Linked DNA regions of Nothobranchius furzeri. The protein of the gene in region 2 interacts with the protein of the main gene of each other region in a pairwise test. Links are inferred from orthologs where the notes say so. Each region holds a gene or a part of one and is shown on either strand. Other genes may lie near its edges. The genes, in order: nr0b2a and rxraa.

Region 1 (3,818 bases), on a different chromosome or scaffold from region 2:
ACCGGGTTCTAAGTTTTCAGTAAATCTAGCAGATTACAGCCACCTTATCCTAACAACTCCAACATTTGGATGATTTCATATCTGCTGAAAAGAAAAATTGCTGCAGCAACAAAAATGTGTAGTTTTTTTCCACTTTGCACTCGATTTGAAGCATTTTGGACTCTCCTTTTGTCTTGTTTGTGTTGCCGTTTCCACGCGTAACCCCATTTCCACCGGCTCACCGCCCCCACCAGCACATTCCTGTTTTACCTGTACGAGTTGTCATGTAAAGACAGGGTTTCACAACTAACATACCACAAAGTAGGATGACTAAGCCTGATTTCTCAAATAACTACATGCAGACAGTGTTTTTTTATACTGCGCTGAGTTTAGCGTTCGTGCCATTCTGTCCCTTTTTGTGACGATGGGGTGGGGGGATCTTGATGCTGTGGTTTTGTGAGAAATGCAAAAGTAAGAAAATATTTGCCGCTAGTCTTCTGAGAAAAAAAAACTTCCACCAAACGTCCTCTAGAGGGAGACACAGCACAGCAGTACAGGCAGAAAAAAGGTTTTCTGTTCCATTTGAAGCCACAAATGTGTGTTTTCATTCTAATTTTAGATTCTCTCCTTTAACGCGCAGGCTTACGCTTGACTTTCTGAAAAGTTTGCTGAGCACAACATGTAATGGAGGATGGATCCACGGATCGGACTCAGTCGTGTACAAAAATATATTTATTCAAGTTTTCTGGAAATGCAGATGCTTATTTACAGCAGAGGAGCTCATCGACACGTAGGATCAAAACTCAAAAACCTCTCAGGAGTTCTGCTCAGACGGTGAAGTGACCTCAGCTTCAGCGGACGAAAGTCAAAACCCTAGTGTGCTTTATAGAAGCCTCTAAAGCACGCTGCATGGAGGTCACCATCCCGAGGACCACCCCTCCCATCGGCTGAAGAGCATGTCGACCAGCAGCTCCAGCAGGTTGGCCTGGCCTATCACAGGCCTGAAGAAGAGTTCGGTGATGAGGCTGGGTGTGATGCCCTGCAGCATGGAGGCTGTGAGGAGGATCCGAGCAAAGCGCTCCTGGTTGCCAGGGTGAAGCAGCTGGACCACCTCGCTCAGGGCGTGCTGAGCTTCCTGCTGCAAGCCTTCGACAAACAGGCCTGCCTTCAAATCTGGTACATCTGTTTGAGAGAAAACCAGAATTGTTGCTTGACAAACGAGTCCTTGGATTATCTGTTGTCTGAATCCAGTTAACGCAGTACATACCTGGATTAAATATCGTGGTCCCTTTCAGGTAAGCGTACTCCTTTGGGCTCACATCTAGACTCCAGAACTTTTTGAGACACGACTTGAGTTTGCTGATGCCTGCCATGGTTGGCTGCTCCCGCTCTGTTTCAGGGCTCTCCTGGCAGTTCAGGAGAATCTTCTTCAGCATGCTGTCAGCAGGGACGTCCGCCACCTCAAAGTCCACGCGCTCCTGGGCCAAACCCAAAATAAAAAGTGGCACCCAGCTGCTTTTAAGTAGTGCAAACTGGTCACTGGGTGGCAGCTGGTTAAACGCTGGCAAGTTCTTCATGAAGTGGACGGTTTTCACCAGAACTGCAGACGCCTCTTTGCAGACCACAGACGGCCTTTTTAAGCACACTCTCCGCCGCGTCTCACAGTTGCATCTGTGAGGAACGGAACTGTGGCTGGAGGTGTCTGGAGTCGGTCTACCGCTGTCCATCTGGCTCAAGATGTTGTAGAGGATCGGGTTTAACTGCCTTTGTTTGTTAGCGGAACACTGGCATCTGTTATCCATCTTTCTTCGATGCGGCTGCTCCTCTGAACCTCTTCTCTGCCACGACGGGCTCCGTCTGAGCTTCTGAGAGCTGCTGCTTCCTCCAGTCTTATTTATAAGGCCAACCCTCCCTTCTTAGTGGACCTTGAAATGTCAATACACCCAATGTGAAAAACAACCGCGCGCTCTGCCAGGTGACTGCTGGAATAACCCTGGGAAACAGATAAGCTTTTCTCATTGAGAAGTAGCTGCTGGAGTCACACATGGATATCAAGTGGGATTGGCCTTATCTGGAAGGCAGTGTCATCAACCCAGGCAGTACCAAGCTACCAAGGACTGCAGAGGTAATCAGCCCCACGCTGTGTCACTGCACCCGCCAGCTCACACCTGTAGTGCTGGAAGGAGGCCAGACCACAAAGGAGGCCGTTGACCTTCACATCGTGTTCTCATCAAACGTAGTTTAGTTTAGACAAACGTTTCCAAACCGGGAACAGTGGGAATTATGCTTCAATTTTAGGGAAACAGTAGTAGTAGCATAAAACCACCAAATAATTCCCGACCACAGCTGCAGTTCTCCGCTCCCCACGGGGATGGGTCAAATGCGGAGATGAATTTCAACAGTGTGTGATGACTAAAGGAACTATTGAAATGATTCCAAATGACTTCGGGAAGAATATAAAACAAGTTCATCGCTGTAGCGAGCCCCCTAGGGGCAAGTTGCATTGATAGCTTAACCTGTAACTCTGGGGTGGGAACAAACGGTAAAATGTACACTTAATGCATCTAATCCTCAGAAGTCCCAAAGCATACTTCAACCTTATAACCACTTCACCTACTAACCTTTAAAATCGGACCGGCTAGCAGCAACGCGACTCTACCACTGACTCTGTTTGCTCTTCAACGTTGATGTTTTCTCTCCACAAATAACACGAGCCTGGAGGAGGTCTGCTGTGTGGTGGAGTTGCTTGTGCTAACGTTAGCTTCTACTACCTCTCTGCTGTTTCCTGGATGCTAAGCCAACAACAGCCGCGAGTCAAGGAGGGTGAGTCCATGAATGTTAGGTGACAGCGTGGCGTAGATCTGTCAGGCTTTTCAAATCCTAGGTGTAGGAGACTATTTTCATGTTCAGCATGAACGAAACACTCGGAGACCGATTATAATCAGAAATAATAATTAAAACTTTTTTTCAGTGTTCCACACCGTTAATGGATATCCATCAAGATTTGCGTTTTAATTCTGCCTTTTCGATCTTTAACACGATTATTACACAGAAGATTAAAAGGTTGTTTGTGTGATCGTAAGGGTCGTGTGTAAGACCAGTTTTTCATTTGAAACATGCACAGAAGTGTTTGTTAGTGATCTGGAACGTAATTAACCCGTTTTACAAATGTCTGCTTCTATAGTTTCTTTGTTTGCATTTGCTTTTGCCCAGTTCCTGAGTAACAGCTGCATTTACGTAGAAGTTTTTGAACATGTTTATTTTGCTGTCAACACATTTGAAATGAAATGAGGCATTCTAACTGCAGATGTTCCGTTTGTGAGACAAACTTATCTAAAAAAGCATCTTGATCAAAAAAGAAATAGTGTTATTGTTTTTACAAATGTTACATTCTCTTGTTGTTGGCCATTTCACAACTAATCTCAATAATGTACATGTTTTTCTTCAGTTCAGATTATTTATATAGCTCCTAACTCAGCAGACGGCATCGAGTCACTGACTAGGTCTTTGCAGCAATCCTCAAAAGCAAGTGTGTAGCGACAGTGGGGATTGGGAAGTCAGCGCAAACACACACACACACACACACACACACACACACACACACACACACACACACACACACACACACACACACACACACACACACACACACACACACACACACACACACACACACACACACACCAAGTGGTGTTCCTATGGCTAGATTGTGATTTCTTATTAAATATTCTATTTAGTGAGAAATAAACTTTATTGTCTTTATCTGGGTGAATCTAATGGGCCATTCCCATCTGTACCGGGTCGGCCCGGGCCGGGTAGCCCCAGTCGGCCCCAGCCTG
Region 2 (3,822 bases):
TAATATTTTGGCTGAAATCCAGGATTTGTGGTTACCAAAATGACTTTTCCTATTTATGATACTGAAAACCATGTGGGTTAATAAAGAGGCTGGGGATTAGTTTTGATTTGTTGACTAAATTAAATTCTGTCACACAATAAACTTTGTGTAATGTCTGTAAAAATATTTTATCTCAGTTCTGAGAAATGACAGAGTAGTTTGAAATTTATCTTTGTCAATTTTTTGTTTATTTTGCAATTAAATGTTTTTGTGTGAATTTAGATCATTTTTAATGCATGCATTAATTAAAAATTGTTTTTTTATACTTACCTGAGTGCTCCAGCCCCCTTGCTTCATAAAAATGTTTATAGAATCTTTGTTCTGTTTAATTTCTCAGCTAATCTAGGTGTATTTTAGGTATTTTTATTTTACCCTAACCCTTTACTTTTATAATCTAATAGTTGATTTAGTCTCCAGGGGAGGGCAGGGCACATCTTTTCTAGCAGAAGCTAACCATTAGCATTAGCAATGCTGCCACATCGCAGACTTCCGTCAGGCTTGTGTTTTTGTGAGATAAAACATCATTTTTACCCAAGAAAAAATGGCAAAGGGAGGCGATGGTAGAGTTGCATTGCTGTCAGCCAATCAGAGGCAAGATATCCGCTGAATATTATGTATGACCTGCTGGCACAGTGAGGCTTTTTTTTAAATATATTTCTTGCTAATGTTAACCATGGCAATAACGTTGCCATAATAACTCGAAAATGTTGGGATGAGCACCCCAAAAACATGATAATGTGGTGACATGGGGGTGAGCACCCCCAAAATTATAATACACCATATTATCCACGGCTGAGACAGTCGTTTTGATGTAACGTTTGTGGGGTGCACGCTTCCCGAAGAATAATATAAAAGATAATGAATCCTCTGGTTAGGATCAATAAGGGCCCTGCCTGCGGTGGCAGGCCCCTTAATAAAAGTTAAAGTAAGGAGTCAGACTCCAAATCCTACTGTCCAACCCACACACTCACAAACACACTCCTCCAACTAACTTCTACTTCCTGAAACATGAGCGCAAGAGCCTTTTTTCCACAGAGAACAACTCACAAGGCATTCATTGTTGAAACCAGAGACCACTGCAGATGTGTTGAAATAACGAGTGTAGAGACCTACCCATAATGCATTGTGGCTGGTTACTTACATGAACCAAAAATCAGAAAAAATACAGCAACTTACTGTTAAAAGGTAAGATATACCCATAATACATTACAGTTATAATGGCATACTTTAAACAGAAACTATGACAGTTTTACTTGGAAATTTTGATATATTCACTTGTAAATATTCCCAGCCAAGAAAAAGGAAAATAAACCTTTCCTGAAAACCAGAGATAATTTTGTCCAAATTTGTGGGGCTGCATATGACAGCATTACAAAGGATGGATAGTTCATTTCATGATTGCTTATCGTGAAAGTCTATCATGATTGTTTATTAATTTTAAAGTATTACTCCTTCCTTCATAGCATTGTATCACTTTTATCCTCAATGTTAGTTTTGATGATCATAACCAGAGTGCAGAAGCACGAAGAGAGTGTCAGAAAAAGAAGTGGAAGTATTAAAGGTTTGTCCATTAGGAGAAAAATAGATCATCATGTGATCACGTCCTGTCTTTTACTTTAATAATCACCACATTTACTAAAGCTGCTCCTGAATGTGACCCAGGTTTTTAATGACTCGATCCACGTGTCCCTGTGGTATCCAACGTAGATCTAGAACACTGATTCTCGGTGTCCAACATGATGTTCAGGCCATGCCCAGGCCCAACTAACCTTGGTTCATTTTGCTGCTTGATTCCTGTTAATTAGCCGTTTGTAAAACTGGTCTGACTGAGGGAGCAAATGGCTCTCAGGCTGCAAATGAAGAGGGAGGATGGGGAAGGGGGGTGAGGCTAAGAGGCTAAAAAGGGCTCTTCGGTAATTCCTTTCCCACACTGCACAATTTAGTCCAGTCCGGCCATTAAAAACAAGTGTTCATTCATTGTCAGGCAATGGTGAAACGCTTCGGTGACCATTGGTGTTCATCAATGACGTGTTTGTGTTGCGAATCAAAGATGTGTCTTTCATTGGAGTTTAAATTAGCGCAGAATGGGGCGACACATGTTGGTTTAGGGTTAAAACTTAATCTGCAAGTCACAAACCTGTTTCAGGGAAAGATAAAATGAGATTGACTCATTTATGCCCATTCAGCCAACATTTGTTTGAAAATGTTTTAGGATTTTTCTGTAATGAGTAAAAACCTCAAGCTTTGTTATTCTATGGCTGCTGAAGACGATTTGGAGAAACAAAAGTTGTGACAAAAAATGTTTTTTTTTTTTTTTTTGTTGGATTCTCACTTTTGTGATTTGTGAAATAACTGCAAACAAATGTCAACATTCATGTGAATTTTTTGTCCCGCTTTAGCAGCAAAGTGTCTCAACTATGTTTCAATTTAGTTTCGATCTGGTCTCCAACTCCTCCCACGGTTGTTTCGCATTCGTCACACATTCTGACTTAGGCCTGATTTATACTTCTGCATCAGTGCGGAGACACGCAACGCCATTATGCGTCGGTGCAAGGGCTCTCCGATGGGCTCAGAGGGCGACGGAGACTTCCCCAACATTTTAAACATCTGTCGAAAGTGACAGAGACTGCAAGCTTGTGATTGGTCAGGATGCCGCTTCGTGTAAATTCATCACCAGCACCGTCGTTGCCCCGTTAAAAAGTAAAAAGATATTTAGCGGCAGACCCAGAACAGATTGAAGAACGCATTGTGGTAAAACTGAAAATATGAATGTTCATTCACCCATGATAGTAGGAGTACAAAATATGGAGCAAACGTGGACGGAAATTAAAGGAAAAATGAGTTTAGAGGTGGCGACCACATGAAGAGGTGGAGGAGAATGAAGGACAAATTTGTCCGTGTTATAAAGTCTCTGAAATAAATAAACACATTAGTAAATGCACTATCGTGGACCGGATACATGAGTGTGACGGTGGCAGTATACCACAGAAAAACGCTACGCCCTCTGTGTTCCTGGCGGGGAATTGTTTTGCAACACTCTGCTGCCTACGCTTAAGTTCACATGTAAAAACCTTTCCAACACTCCGTGTACATCTCTCACGTTGCGGAGCTCATGGAGAAGTATAAATCAGCCTTTACACAGACTAAATCACAGAGTTCCCAATGAATCCCAAACACTTGTGATGGCTAGATCTTTGAGAGAAAACTTCTAGATTCAGCTGTTATTCAAATTTTTGCCATAATATTTAGATTTTTGATTTTTTTCACTGTTTGAATGAAAAAAATCCGATTTTAAAACAGAATATGTTTGCAGGTTTGTTATAGTTGTTTGTTCTTGTGCTTGTGTTTCAGATTCTAAAGGTTTGTCCAACCCAGGTGAAGTTGAAGCTCTGAGAGAGAAGGTCTACGCGTCTTTAGAGGCCTACTGTAAACACAAGTACCCCGAGCAGCCGGGCAGGTGGGATTAAAATCACAAACATGAATGTATAACTAAAACCTAGCCACGTTGGTTACAAAATAACCAGCATTAATCGTTTTTCTCTGTTGATTCCTTGTTTTATCATCAGTACTGACGCTTGTGTTGTTTCTGAACAGGTTTGCCAAGCTGTTGCTACGGTTACCGGCGCTGCGCTCCATTGGGCTCAAGTGTCTGGAACACCTATTCTTTTTCAAGCTGATCGGCGACACGCCCATCGACACCTTCCTCATGGAGATGCTAGAAGCCCCTCATCAGATGACATAGTAGCAGTAAACCCTCCTAAATCCATCCTCTCTCCTCTTCCT

Evidence for each region.
Region 1: the proteins of rxraa (region 2) and nr0b2a interact in a two-hybrid assay, tested with the Homo sapiens proteins (2 studies listed by BioGRID and IntAct). The link is inferred for Nothobranchius furzeri from reciprocal best matches to the Homo sapiens genes RXRA and NR0B2.

Annotation. Positions count from the first base shown.
Region 1 is NC_091745.1:40,694,112-40,697,929, reverse strand, and holds nr0b2a (nuclear receptor subfamily 0 group B member 2a), read right to left. Parts: upstream 2,221-3,818; 5' UTR 1,782-2,220; coding exon 1,247-1,781; intron 1,162-1,246; coding exon 896-1,161; 3' UTR 694-895; downstream 1-693. UniProt on the Homo sapiens protein: Transcriptional regulator that acts as a negative regulator of receptor-dependent signaling pathways. Specifically inhibits transactivation of the nuclear receptor with which it interacts.
Region 2 is NC_091746.1:41,707,128-41,710,949, reverse strand, and holds part of rxraa (retinoic acid receptor RXR-alpha-A), read left to right. Parts: intron 1-3,390; coding exon 3,391-3,496; intron 3,497-3,633; coding exon 3,634-3,781; 3' UTR 3,782-3,822. UniProt on the Homo sapiens protein: Receptor for retinoic acid that acts as a transcription factor.